Nothobranchius furzeri: one gene and its partners. The protein of the gene in region 3 interacts with the protein of the main gene of each other region in a biochemical or structural test. Links are inferred from orthologs where the notes say so. Each region holds a gene or a part of one and is shown on either strand. Other genes may lie near its edges.

Region 1 (4,535 bases), on a different chromosome or scaffold from region 3:
TACCTTTCATTGGTTCATGGCTGCTTCTCTTCTGGAGCCAGGTGTTTGTCACCACGGCAGCAATCGGCCCGTCTGTCTGTCCATTCTTCCACTAATACTGCGTGTTTGTGTGTGTCGGTGTCCACAGTAACCCCAGATCAGTCTCTGGGCATCGGTAAAAGGGGATGGGGGCTCCAGGAGGTCACAATCACTTTGTACTCTGGGATGGCTGGGATCCATTAGAAGGTGAAGGTGTGTGTTGGAGTGGTAGTTTCCTTCTTGGCAGTGCAAGTTTCCACCCTCACCAAACACATAAAGCACTTACTGAGACATCCACAGCGGTCGCAACAACGAGGGTGCATTTACATTCTCCGTGCCCTTTTGTCATCATGTCAACTTCAGTTTGGAGTTATCTGTGCAATCATCGTTCCACCGCTATGAGCTGAAAGCAAACAGCCTTTTTGTTTTGTCCTGGGGATGATCGAGCGTTCAAAGGTCTGAATCAGAAACACCAGTCTGCCTGTAACACGCTGTGATTCGAATAAATGTCACAGGGAGTGCACTTGTAGATTTGAAGGTCACCGTGCAGGACCGAGTCAGGAATAATGTTATGTTAAGGAGGTTACCCTCGCATTGTCTTTCACAGAGGTGAGCCATTAGTCACTCTCAAACTGTTACAACACTGCTGTAGTCCGTGAGTCGGAAAAAGAACGACAAGAAATATATTAATTCAAACCAACCATCACATTAAATTAAAGTGGAAGAAACTGAAGAACTCCTTCAGCAGTAAATGCGTCGTGGAGGGTGGGGGTTGGGGTGGGGGGTGTAAATCAAGCAGAAAATGTTTTTAGAGATAGTCCTTCACCCCCCCCCCCCCCCCCTGCATCTTTAACTCTTGTTTGCTTCACTTTTTTGTTTGCTTGTATTCTTTTTGCCTCTCGTCGCTCCTCTCCTCTTCTTGTCCCACTCGGAGCTCCTGCCACAGGGACATGATTGTCGTCTTGCTTGCTGATTAATTAGTATTTCTTTAGTAGCGCTCTCCTTCCTGGCTCACGAGTAGAAAATAGGGAAGACACGCTTCCAGTTTTCAGGTGCAGTAAGCAGAAAACGTTCTAAAGCAACACAAACACAGAACCGGGCCCGTTTTTTTCAGTTGTTTGCTCTCGTCGCCTACTGGTTTCAGCGCGAAGGATGAGTTCAATGTAAAAGAACGAAATGTGCCCTTCAGAGAGCAAAACGTTTGTTGGGTTTCCATGTCAGAGGAGGTCGCCTCTGCGTTCATCCTTTTTAAATACAAAATTTACACAAGTGGCAGTTGCACAGTGGAAGCAGAGAAAGTCACAACCATGACTGCGTGTTGCCCACAGCACAGCAATTATAGGAATGCATGTTGTATGAGTGTGTGTAATAACCATGCTGTGTGCTATAAACGTCTTAAGAGAGCCAGTCAGGCATCAGCAGAGATAGAGAGCGTGGGTGTCGACGGCATGTCACTAGAAGACAGAGAGAGCAGGCATCCTCACAAAGAGGGAGGTAGGTTGGTTGCTTTGTTTTTCCACCTCAGGGAACGGAGCTGGAAAGACGGGTCTAGATGGACGACTCCTCCGGGTTCGCGTCAGGCAGGACGCTTCTCTGCTGCAGCGTGCGTCTAAGCTCCTCCTTAAATGGGCTGGAGTAGTCGTTCCCACCCACGCTGAGACCTCCCAGCCCGCCACCCCCAGCGCCGGCCCCACTAGCCCTCTCCTCCCCTGCTGTGCTCAGATTGAGGCGGATGTAACCATTGCTACCAGAGCCTCGGATGTTGGTGAGGCTGAGACGGCTGGGGGAGTGGATGGGCTGGCCAGGAATGGCGCTGGGTGATGCCGTGCTGCTGACGCTGCTGGGCCCCAGGGCGTGTCCGGGAACGATCTTCAGCGAACCGTCTGAGTAGTAGTAGTTGGCACCTGTTTCCCAGAATCGGTCTTCATCGCTCGGCATCTTGCTGGGCACAAAGGTGGGTGGCTCCTTTGGCAGGGTGACGGGGTAGACCAAAGTGCTCTCCAGAGGCTTCATGTCAGCTCCTTTCCCCAGAGCCAGCTTCAGCCTCCTACGCAGATAGAGAGCCACCACAAAGAGCAGCAGGCACGCCGCGCCCAGAGTGATGACCAGCACCCAGAAGAGCCCCATGCTGCTGTCCGGAGCTCGGGCTTCCATGAATACCGGAGCACTGGCAACAACCGCCACCTGGTAGCGCTCCGTCTGAAACTTGACCCCCTGCTCCTCAGAGTAGCAGATGTAGCGGCCTGCTTGCATCTGGCCTGCCTCGGGGATGATGAGGGCTTTGAGGGCTCTGTCGAAGCGTGGCCCTCCTGCTTCTGGGTCACCCAGCAGCAGCTCCCGCTCGTTGACAACCCAGAACGGCTGAGCCAAGTTTGACACGAGTTGGCACGGCAGCACCATGTCGGACCCAACAACCACTGTGACATTTCTCAGATGGGAGTGCTCTGCAGAAGAACATGAGGGATCAAGAGAGAAGAGAGGAGAACACAAAAGTTCAGGTTGTTTCATCCGTTAAAAATCCAGACAGCACTTTTCTGCTTAGCTCCATTTATTTATTAACTCAGTCCTGCTCCATTCCACCTTGCAGAAAACCTGACCTGCAGTGACAGTTCAGTACCACCAGAGGTCACTAATGAGGCACTGTCTTATACTCACCGGGGCTGGGGATGGAGACGGGTTTATCGAACTTGGCTTTCCCACGATTGAACCTCTCCAGCATGAGGTCCTGTGAGAGGGACGAGGTGGACCTGGACACGAGAGGGGTGAATGAAGAAGACAACATTCAGATTTGAAAGAGAGAGCTTAACCCCTTCTTTCCACCGGAGCCGTCAGCAGCACGTTACTGCAGCAGCACGTCTTGCTCGCGTAAGCTGCTGCTTGGCCCTTCCCACGAGACGCGAAGCAGCAGGGGAGCAGCTGTCACCGACAGAGCACGAAGTCACGCGAGTGACTTCGTCAGTAAACACAACAACAAGCAGGAGAAAACTACAACATGGCTCCAAAAGGTTTGTGTTTTATGTTCTGTCCATTTTATAATCGCCAATACGGACCTGAAAAACAAAGGAGACCGCTAGCTAGGTGATAACTTCTCACGGGGACGCACAGTTAGTAACTATTTTTTAAAGTAAAGCAACCGGAAGGCAGTACGTTTCTTTATTCTGAAAATCTCGGGAGCTTCGCTCCGTTTCCGCATCCCATTTCCGGTCTTTCCTTCCCCAAAAATGTCGAACTTGACCCGTTTCAGAGGCTTCGCGGGTAGAAAATAGAACCGGCGCGTAAAGGCCGCGACATGCTGCTCCTGAGACGTGGCCGACTCGCGCTGCTGACCGCTCTGGTGGAAAAGGTTCTGTTGACCACAGCGGTTCCTATCAGCAGCTATGACGAGCTGCTGACGGCTCCGGGGTAAACATTACTGTACATGAGGAGGTGTAGAGCAAACAAAAGTAGCAAAAAAGATAAAACACGTACTTCAGTAATACTAGACATGATAGATATAACACAAGCCTTCACATCAGTGGTCCGCAAATAGTGGCCCGTGGGCCACGTCCAGCCCGCGAGCCCTCTCTTTGTGGCCCCCAAACCCCGCCTGCACCCTCCACCCCCACCCCCGACGGCCGACCGGGAGGCGTAGGATAGACAGAGCTGAGGAAAATAATCAAATAATCAATGCATGAGATGCGAGCATAAACGATTCTGCATCATAGAAGAGTACCATAATCAATTACAGTGGAATGTGGTTTTGTTATGTTAACGGCGGCACCAGCGCAGCATCCACATCTGTAAGAGTGGTGTTCTCCACATTTACCGGGTAGGAAACTTTGGTCCGCCTTTATGTGGTACTGCAGGGCTGAGCACTGGAGTTAGAACCTGAGACAGGACCCTAACCGAATCAGCCCGATCGGTTCTGTTGGATTTGGGTCGTGAGCTATGTTAATTGAGCGGGTTGTCGTGCAGCGCGCTCCGCTCGCTCCATCAGCGACTGAGAGAGAAAGAGAGTCGGGGGGGGGGGGGGGGGGGGGGGGGAATCGGAGGACACTCCTCCAAACATGCATTATTATTTCCATAATTTCATTTTTGTTTCTCCTGGAAGCGCTCAGTCAGACCGAGTGCTGTGATGTCGGGAGATCCGGTCTTGGGGAGGGAGCGGGGTCAGTGGCGGCGGCTGCAGCGTGATCGTCTGTCTCTTTTATTTAGGGACACGGAGAAGTTAAAAGGAGAGAGAAATAGAAGATAGAAGTTCTTGTTCCACTTTATTCTTTTGTTTCATGAAGATAAACTGATGTTAAATTCAGCTGAAAGAGAAACTGGGAGGAAGCTTTGGTTCATTTTTAAGTTACAGGAGATCTCATTTCCTATCTGCTCCTCCAGAGACAGCATGGACATGAGGGCTACATGGTAAGGGTCACACAGGACAGGTTAGTGGTCACACAGCCGAGCTGGAGGGGGACAGGTGTTGTCCAGCTTTATATTGCAAGCTTGTGTGTTATGTGCATTACAGCCAGCAATCCAAACAGCAG
Region 2 (4,867 bases), on a different chromosome or scaffold from region 3:
AGTCATGTTTTTGGACTGGAGGAAGCTGAAGCACCCAGAGAGAACCCACGCATGCACAGGGAGAACATGCAAACTCCATGCAGAAAGATCCCAGGCTGGGAAGCGAACCCAGGACCCTCTCGCTGCAAGGCAACAGCTCTAACCACTGCGCCAATGCGCAGCCCATGAACATTCCAATACAGATCAATTTATTAAGCCAATCAGAAAAAAGTTTGCTATATAAGGAATCCAGCAAATTGCATCGAGTCACTGCCTAGTGTCAGTGACTTTACAGCAATCCTCATACTAAGCAAGTATGCAGCGACAGTGGAGAGGAAACCTCCCTTTTAACAGGAAGAAACCTCCAGAGAATCCTGGCTCAGTATAAGCAGCCATCCTCCATGACTCACTGGGGATCGAGAAGACAGAGCACACACACACACACACACACACACACACACACACACACACACACACACACACACACACACACACACACACACACACACACACACACACACACACACACACACACACACACACACACACACACACACACACACACACACACACACACACACACACACACACACACACACACACACACACACACCAAGTAAGGTTTCTATGGTTACATTGTGATTTCTTAGCAAATATTCTATTTGGTGAGGGATAAACTTTATTGTATTTATCCTAGTGAATCTATAATTAAATGGGTAAACTAGTAGTAGCATCAAGGAAAGCAAAGTGTTATTATCAGGAGAGGGAGAATGATTAAATGGTTAGCAACAGTGTTTAGGACGATGGCCCCCCTCCATGAGACTACCACAGCTCAGCAGAGCATCATTGTAGCTTGTTCTTGGGAGAAAAACACAGAGAAAAAATAAAGTTAACAGCTGAAATTGCAGGAAATAATGCAGTTAAAGAGCAGATTGTAGAAGAAAGTAGTAGAATGTGGAAAATGGTCAGTGTGTCCTCCAGCAGTCTAAGCCTATAGCAGCATAACTACAGAGATAACTCTGGATAACCTAGCCTTTTAGATGGCGGCATGTTGGAGGCAGGGCAAGGGAGAGCCGTCTTAACCGACTGCACACTCCATCTCCCTCTACTCCCCCACTTGTCCAGATTTAGGCTAACATCAGATTTTAACCATAGGCCCTATCAAATGAAAATGTTTTAAGCCTAGTCTTAAAAGTAGACAAAGTCTCTGCCTCACGGACTAAAACTGGGAGTTGGTTCCACAAGAGAGGAGCCTTTTAACTAAAAGATCTGCCTCCCATCCTATTTTTAGATATTCTGGGAACCACCAGTAAACCTGCAGTCTGAGAGCAAAGTGCTCGGTTAAAAACGTATGGAACAATCAGGTCACTGACGCATGATAGAGCTTGATGGTTATGAGCTTTATATGTGAGAAGGAGGATCTTAAAATCTATTCTAAATTTATCAGGCAGCTGATGTAGGGAAGCTAAGACAGGAGAGATATGATCTCTCTTTTTAATTCTCATCAGAACTGTAGCTGCAGCATTTTAGACAAGGTGAAGACTTTTAACTACATTCTGTGGACTTCCTGAGCGTAATGAATTACAGTAATCCAGTTTTGACGTAATAAATGCATGAACTAGTTTTTCAGCATCACTCCTGGAAAGGATGCTTCTAATCTTAGCAATATTCCGAAGGTGGAAAATGGAAATCCTACAAACCTGTTTAACGTGGGATTTGAATGACATGTCCTGGTCGAAGATAACACCAAGGTTCCTTACATTGTTCTCGGAGACTAATTTAATGCCATTCAGGCCATGTGATTGACTAAGCAATTTCCTTTTCTGAATTTCAGGTCCAAAGATGAGAACTTCAATCTTGTCTTGATTTAAAAGCAAAAAGTTTAGAGTCATCCAGTTTTTTGTGTCTTCAAGACAAGCCTGTAATCTAACTGATTAGGTTAATCAGGGTTAATGGATAGATATAACTGCATATCATCAGCATAAAAGTGGAAGTTTATCCCATACTGTCTAATGAATGTCATGGTCTGTCTGTCTCTTTGTGTTTCTCCTTCATCCCCTGGTCTTCAGCCTTCCAGATATATCTCTCAGGTCCTGTGTTCCTTTAGTCTTCTCCAGTCACCCCTCTGCAGTGTTTATAGTTTCAGCTTTTCATTTTATTAGTCTCTTTAGTATGTTTTGTCCCACTGGTCTTTGTAGTTCTCCCTCCCTTTAGAATATTAGTTATGTGGTTGCTTTTCTTGTTTTTAGGTTTATTCTTAGATCATGTGAGTTCCCTCCCTGATTAAGTATTGCTTTCACCTGGTCCTCTAACCCACACACCTGCAGCTCTTCTGCCTCCCATTATGCCCCAGTGTATTTAAGCCCTGTCTTGTCGGGCCATTGTTTGTATGTCAGCGTTTTCTGATGCTCTGTGTGAGCTTTGTGTCTCGTCCTAGTTTTTGTGCTCTAGGTGAGCTTTTGTTCTTCTGGTTTTGGATTTTTGGCTCCCTGCCTTCGGAGTTATTTTTGTTTCATCCTACAATTAAAAGGATTTATTCTTATATCAACTCCTGCCTCGTGTCATCCTGGGTATCTGCATTTTTGGGTCCTAACCATCCCCATAACGTGACAATGAATTTACCAGTTGGGAGCATATATATAGTAAAAAGAATCGGTCCAAGCACTGAACCCTGCGGTATTCCACAAATAACCTTGGAGTATGAAGATTTGTCATGTACATTTACAAAATGATATCTATCAGACAGGTAGGATTTAAACCAGCCTAACGCTGTTCCTTTGATCCTTACAACATGTTCAAGTCTTTCTAAAAGAACATTGTGATCAACTGTGTCAAAAGCAGCACTGAGATCTAACAAGACTAGAACAGACACAAGATTCTCATCTGAGGCCATGAGAATATCATTTGTAACTCTCACTAACAGTTTCAGTGCTGTGATACTCTCTAAAACCAGACTGAAACAAACAGATCATTAGTGTTTAAATACTCACATACTTGGATGGCCACTATTTTCTCCAGGACTTTGGATAAAAATGGAAGGTTAGATATTGGTTTTTAATTCATTGGGTCATCTGGATCCAGAGAAGGCTTCTTAAGTGAAGGTTTGATTACAGCAACCTTAAAATCCTGTGGCAGTAACCTTTTATAACACAAATGTGTTTGTGTTTTTAAAAATCGACCAATAACCATTTTCACTAACTTAGTCACTCAACAGAAACATTTGCTTAAAAGGTAAATCTGTCACAGAAATCAACTGAAATTATTTATTAGCCCATTTTTATTGATCCTTTCAAGCAGATAAAAAGAAAAACTATTTTTTTAACTTCTATTGTAATAAGAATTTGAGCTATCACATTTGTGAGTTCAGAAGAAAATTTAAGGTTAAATGTGAGGTAGACACTGAGCAAACCGATGTTGGGGATTAGAGGAAAACCAATTGTTTTTCACTGGTTCTCTGCTCAGGCTCAAATAGTTTACTTCACCACACCTAATCACTATGTTATTTCTTGATTCTGGCCTTGTTATTTTCTCATGCAGATTGAAACAATAGGTGATGCCTACTGCGTGGCTGGAGGGCTGCACAAGAAGGTTGACAGTCACGCAAAACCAATCGCCCACATGGCTCTGAAGATGATGGAACTGTCTGAAGAGGTGCTGACGCCTGACGGGAAGCCTATCAAGGTGAGTTTTAATTCTCCCTACAAGTGTGTCAGGCTGTTAGGTTAGTAAATTATTGATAATAATACTTGTAATGTAAATGTGTTGACTATGTGTGTCGTTCAAAAAGGGAATAGATAAGAAACAGATGGGAATTTGTGATGTAATTAGATTACTTAAACACCTCATAAATTGTTACTGTGTTCAGGGTTTAACATTCTGATTTTATTTCCATTAAAGGGGGCATACTATGTGAAACTCACCTTCTGCATCCTTTTGTGCTGCCATGTGGATCACTACTGCCTCTATACCCCCCCCCCCCCAAAAAAAAATCAATCTTTTTTTCTGTCAGTTTTTGTTTTACGAATTTTGGCCCTAAAACAAGCCGGTTCAACATGTCCCTGTTTGTGATGTCACAAACAGGGAAATAATAAAAAAAAACAACACTTTTCACATTCAAGAGCAAGCTGATGGAGGAGCAGCAGCTCTACTTTGAGCTCCTCTTGAATAATGGAGCTTCTGTGCTCATAGCAGCCAGATCAGGGGAGGGATTGGAGTGGCCAGCTGCATTTTGTTTTCTTAAAGAGCATATTGCAGGTTAGAGCCTCCTTTGAGCAAATATTCAGAGAAACATAATAAAAACTCATTCTAAATAAAAATGAACGCATGCATATATTATTTAGGCGTTGAGAGTTGATGGAGAAAAATGTGTTTTCTGCCAAACCAGACAAGATGCAGGCAGAGGGAGTGCTGTTAGCTTGATCCAGAGAAAAATTTGGATTTTGATGCCAGCTCCGACACAGAGGAAACTTTAAATGTTTATAATTATACTTAATGGTGGATCTCAACCATACAGGTATGAACCTGATGTGTGCCCCAGAGAGCAGAGACAAGCCAGAGGGAGAAAGGAGAAATTTAGCTGTGGTGTCAGGAGGTTCTGTGGAGCGAGCAGGTGTCTCAGTGAGTGAACAATGCTAGCTAGCTTGTTTAAAGAGCAAATTGCAGGTCAATTTTTTTTAATTCATATAAAATGCTGTCCAAAAATACTATTTGAAATGCAGGAGTTTCTTGAAAGTCGAAAAGGAAACCCCTGTTCTTGTAGTGCTTGGTAGGTCATTCTACATTTGTGCAACAAATATTAATACTAATGAGCGTCTGTCAGCGGTCTCATACTCATTATCCGTTCACGTAACGTAGTTTAGTGCTTAGCGAGAGAGAGAGACACCTGTGA
Region 3 (5,399 bases):
GGTTTCAAGAAGGGCAGCAAAGAAGCCACTTTTCTCCAAAAAAAAACATCAGGGACAGATTGATCTTCTGCAAAAAGTATGGTGAATGGACTGCTGAGGACTGGGGCAAAGTCTCGGATGAAGCCCCTTTCCAATTGTTTGGGGCATCTGGAAAAAAAGCTTGTCCGGAGAAGAAAAGGTGACAGCTACCACCAGTCCTGTGTCATGCCAACAGTAAAGCATCCTGAGACCATTCATTCATGTGTGGGGTTGCTTCTCATTCAAGGGAGTAGTTTCACTCACAATTTAGCCCAAAAACACAGCCACGAATAAAGAATGGTACCAAAACACCCTCCGACAGCAACTTCTTCCAACAATCCAACAGCAGTTTGGTGAACAATGCATTTTCCAGCACGATGGCGCACCGTGGCATAACGTGATTACTCAGTGGCTCGGGGGCCAAAACGTTGAAATTTTGGGTCCATGGCCCGGAAACTTCCCAGATCTGATCGCATGGAGAAGTTACGGTCAATCCTCAAGAGGTGGGTGGACAAACAAAAACCCACTAAATCTGACAAACTCCAAGAAGTGATGATGAAAGAATGGGTTGCTATCAGTCAGGCTTTGGCCCAGAAGTTGATTGAGAGCATGCCCAGTCGAACTGCAGAAGTCCTGAAAAAGAAGGGCCAACACTCCAAATACTGACTCTTTGCATCAATGTCATGTAGTTGTTGATAAAAGCCTTTGAAACGCATGAAGTGCTTGTAATCATATTTCAGTACATCACAGAAACAACTAAACTAAAGATCTAAAAGAAGTTTAGCAGCAAATGTTGTGAAAACTACTATTTGTGTCATTCTCAAAACTTTTGGCCACGACAGTAGATTAAACAGAGATGGAGGTCTGGAGATTCAGCTGACTCAGAATCTGACCTCCAGGCAGTTTCACATCAACCCACATCATCAGAAACGGGATCAAAACATCGGAAACACAAAGGTTCTAATGGCCCTCAGGAGAAGGCCTGAGGGGAGTGATTTGTAATCTAGCTGGAAACAGAGTTGTTTAAAAGCTTTTAATGCTGCATTTTTTTTTTGTTTGAATCAAAAACTCTGAAGAGGAAAACCAAAATCTCCCCAATGAAGGTAATGACCACAAAGAAGCAACATATCAAAGCACAAAGAGGACTCAAATGCAGAGCTCACCCAGTTTTAATAAGCAGAAGGGATTCCTGGAGTACAACACAACTGAAAAGTCCAAATCTAACTGAATACACTTTTACCAAGTGTTTCTGAGAGCAGGTTCACATCACACAACAGGAGAAGACAAACTGGCAAAGGAAACTGTTGCAAAGACGCTTAAATGGAGAAGCCAGGACCCAGGTGCAAGACATGAGGCTGATTAGTGAGGAGCCTCATGTCGTGAAGCTGCCTGTAATGAGACAGGAAGTGAATGCACAAAATAAAACAGGAAGTACCAGAAATACAATAAAATCAGAAACAAGACTGCAAAGCACTCAACCTGCAGAATCACCCATGACACAACAGAACAACGTGGCAACAGCAGAAACCCGGCAAAGGGACAAAACTGAGGAGTATTCCTGCAGGGAGGGACGGTCCAGGTTAGATAATGGTACCAATAACTCTTAAAGAAATTCAATAATGTCACCTTCCTTCTACACTCAGTCTAATTTGAATCAAAACAAACCATTCTCTGAGCTTAACGTCCACAGGAGCCACATCAAAAACCAAAGATGAAGCTTCAGCAAACGTTTAAACTAATGCAACGACATCAGACGGAAACACAAACACGATTCGTAAACATCTAATAAGGGTTCAGTGATGGGACATAGATGTTGCTGAATATTAATGCTGCAGTTTGTGGACGGTCCCTAAACCCTCATTTCACATCCGGTGTTGTGCTGACTTCTGCTTCCCCATTAAAACCAACCCTCTCAGGCTTACACAGGCAACATAACACCTTCCGCACATAAACACCAATCATATATCAAATTCCTGCCACAACAGTTTTATACCTGGCCCTGACTGGGGTCTGTAGGATGGAAATGCACACCAACGTGATTAATTCACAAAAGAAAGCTACGGCATAACCTGCCGTTAAATGGAACAAACAATGTTTTAATCAACAAGTCTGCTGGAGTTTTCCTCCCTACGCATTTCAGAACATGCTCCCTGATCCACCGGTACATGTGTCAGGCCGTGTTCATACGTGGAAAATGCACATGAAGGAATGACCAAATCCCCATTCACATGTTTGTGATTTCTCCATGACGAGCGTGATGACGAGCATGTTCGATGCAATATACACACATGTAGACACGGAGCTCCCCTCAAGCCTGCAGACTCTGAGCTAACATGCAAATCAGAGGCAGCAACAGAGAGATGGAAAAGAGAAGAACGTCACAAACACAGAGGTGAATTTACCTACCACACATGGGCAGAGAGAAGGGAGCTTAGTGCGGCCCTTCATGAGCAAGAGACAGAGGAAAAACAGCCTCCCAGACACCCGCAGTAAAGGAGGGGAGGGATGGGGAGAAAGAAAGAAAGAAAGAAAGAGAGAGAGGGGGGGGGGTGCGAGGCTGGGGAAGGGGAAGAGGAAATAAAAAGAGAGGGAGGGCGAGACAAGAGGAGGGAGGGACGTGTCGTACCAGACGAGGAGCGAGAGTTTTCCTGGAAGCCAGAGTTGTTGCTGTTGGATATATCTTGATATTAAAGGCAAGAGGCTGAAAAGACGGGACGAGCGGTCTGCTCCGACCGTGACTCATAAAAATATGTTGGCTGCTGCCGATGAGTGAGGGAGGGACAAGGAGAGGAGACGTAGAGACAGTGAATCAACCCTCCGTAGTATGTTATCATCGCTGCCTCTTTCTTTTGCTCCTGCGCTGAAACAATGTCAGAAATAAAGAGCCCATAGAAAAGTGTCTGTTACATAAGAGGGAACTTGTTTCATAAATATTCAACATGCAGATTTCTGACACTTCTGTGCATCCATATCATTTTATTCTCTGTGCAGATCCTCCTTCACACGTCTTCATTTATCAGACTCATGCTGCTGATCCTCCTCGAAGATCCTGAACGACTACAAAGTTTTGGCCATTATTGGAGCCAGTCTAGTCTCTCCCGAAGGGGAAAAAGTAGATTCCTACAGAAAACTGGTCCAACATTGATGTCTGTCCTGCTTTTGCAGAATTCCCACGAGAATCTTAACAGGATGGTTTGTTGGGATGATAACACTCTGAGCTGTCCTGCTAAAACTTTTAAATTCTAAGGTTTGGTGGAAGACGTTTTCTGAGGTGAGCGAGACAGAGGAAGGACTGAAGCACTCATCCATCCATGGTCTTATATGTAACCAGGTTGCAGAGACTGCAGCCTTAGCAGAGATCCCTACACCTCCCCCCATTTCCCCAGCGACCTCTTCCAGCCCTACCGAGGGAAAACCAAAGCATTCCCACACCAGCTAGGAAATCTAACTACTCCATTCCTACTAAATCTGTTTGGAGGCCTCCTCCTGGTGGGTCATGCTGGAAACAGGTACCCAGAGGACATCCTTAGCAGATGTGCCAATGATCTCAGCTGGCTCACGCTGATGCAGAGGAGCCGTGATTCTCCTCGGCACTGATGAGCTGCTCAGATGAATCTGAACTCACTCTTCTCCACAGGAAGATGGTAATGTCCACATCATCGATGTTCAGGGACCATTTGGGTTTCATGGACCAACAGTGATCTTCCAGAACGCCTAGCAGTAACAACTGGAAGTGAGGTGTGCAGTCACAAGCATTCTTTAAGTCCACAACGTAAAAACTGGGATGTTTATGCTAGCATGTTCTTGAGTAACTGACAAGTGCGTTCTTGATAAGTACAGGAGAAAGTCCGTTCTAACGAATACGGGGGTACAAGGACGGCATTTGGATCTGAACCGTACTCCATTACGTCACGGCATGTTGAAGAAAAATATGTTACTTTTTCATCAAACAGAGCTGTTTAAAGCTACGTTGGTTTTATTTTAATAGTGGATGAGCTAAGTTTCATTTTGAGGTATTATAAAACCCACACAGCAAATGTATGGGTTACACGCACAGTTATCTATGGTGGGCTACACAGTTGTTAGCGTTAGGTTTACATTCCAACCTGGGGTCTTTCTGCATGGAGTTTGCATGTTCTCGCTGTGCATGCACAGGTTCTGTCCAGGTACTCCCACTTCCTCCCACAGTCCAAAAACATGACGTTCAGGTTGACTGGTGTCTCTAAAGTGTCCTTAGGTGTGAATGTTTGCATGGTTAATTGTTTATCCTGTGTGTCTCTGTGTTGCCCTGCGATGGACTGGCAATCTGTGCAGGGTGTACCCGCTTTTATACCCGTAGACTGCTGGAGATAGGCACTAGCCCCCCGTGACCCTGCGTGGACAAGCGGGTACAGATAATGAATGGATGGATGGACAATTATCTACAATAAGAAACAACTTTTAATTTATTTTTCTAGACTTCATTATTTGTATTTTTGACATGAATACTCTAGAGCTACGAGCTTTCTCCTATGCCATTTTCAGTTTGAGGTACAACGGTTTGTAATCCTAAGCATGATGAATTACAAGCCACTGTCCTTGCAGGCCCAAGTCTGCAGAAGGTTGCGTTGACGCAATCTTGAGGGAACTTGCCATGGTAGATTGGAACAATACTTGGGCCAGTGTTGATGATGATGCCATTTTCAGTGACGTTTCACAAGTACGCATATTGAGAAACTTGTCACGTTTCGGGGATGTTTAGGACCCAAATATGCAGATACCCAGGAGGACATGAGGCAGGAGTAAATATAAGGAAAAAATTATTTTATTAGAGTTTTAACAAAAATAAATCCAAGGCAACGAGCCTAAAGTCCAAAGTCCTGGAGCACAGGACACCCAAAGCTCTCAAAGAGCACGAAGACCAAAGACTTTGAAACAGAAGCTCACCTAGAGCACAAAGTCTGGGGACGAGACAAAAAGCTCATAAAGAGCACAAACAAACGCAGACAGAATACAAACAATGGGCCGACAAGAGACTGAGACAAGACAGGGCTTAAATACACAGGGAGGATGAGAGGGAGATGAGCTGCAGGTGAGTGGGGTGTGGGAGGAGGACCAGGTGAAGGCAATGACTAATCAGGGGAGAAACTCACTTGACCTAAGAATAAAACCTAATACAAAAGAGCAGGAAACATGACTACAATTCAAAGGGAGGGTGGGAGAAAAATAATAAACACTGATGGGAAAAAAAAACATAATAAATCATGAAAGGCTGTAACTAAAGGAAATGACTTGATAAACCTAGAGGGCTGGAGATCTAGGGGCAAATGGGGAAAACCAGAAGACACATGAGGAAGACGCAGACATGACACATGAGGGCGCTAGGACACAAAAGGAGCACC

The links. The genes of interacting proteins can lie anywhere in the genome.
Region 1: the proteins of disks large homolog 4 (region 3) and sema4c form a complex in vitro, tested with the Homo sapiens proteins (2 studies listed by BioGRID and IntAct, with this or other methods). The link is inferred for Nothobranchius furzeri from reciprocal best matches to the Homo sapiens genes DLG4 and SEMA4C.
Region 2: the proteins of disks large homolog 4 (region 3) and gucy1a2 interact in a test that uses a peptide from one of them, tested with the Homo sapiens proteins (2 studies listed by IntAct, with this or other methods). The link is inferred for Nothobranchius furzeri from reciprocal best matches to the Homo sapiens genes DLG4 and GUCY1A2.

Annotation. Positions count from the first base shown.
Region 1 is NC_091757.1:30,300,846-30,305,380, forward strand, and holds the end of sema4c (semaphorin-4C), read right to left. Parts: intron 2,766-4,535; coding exon 2,674-2,765; intron 2,463-2,673; coding exon 1,567-2,462; 3' UTR 1,335-1,566; downstream 1-1,334.
Region 2 is NC_091753.1:35,403,281-35,408,147, reverse strand, and holds part of gucy1a2 (guanylate cyclase soluble subunit alpha-2), read left to right. Parts: intron 1-3,516; coding exon 3,517-3,660; intron 3,661-4,867. UniProt on the Homo sapiens protein: Has guanylyl cyclase on binding to the beta-1 subunit. Isoform 2 acts as a negative regulator of guanylyl cyclase activity as it forms non-functional heterodimers with the beta subunits.
Region 3 is NC_091750.1:46,441,538-46,446,936, reverse strand, and holds the start of disks large homolog 4, read right to left. Parts: upstream 3,623-5,399; 5' UTR 2,762-3,622; coding exon 2,645-2,761; intron 2,554-2,644; exon of another isoform or gene 2,467-2,553; coding exon of another isoform or gene 2,425-2,466; intron 1-2,424. UniProt on the Homo sapiens protein: Postsynaptic scaffolding protein that plays a critical role in synaptogenesis and synaptic plasticity by providing a platform for the postsynaptic clustering of crucial synaptic proteins.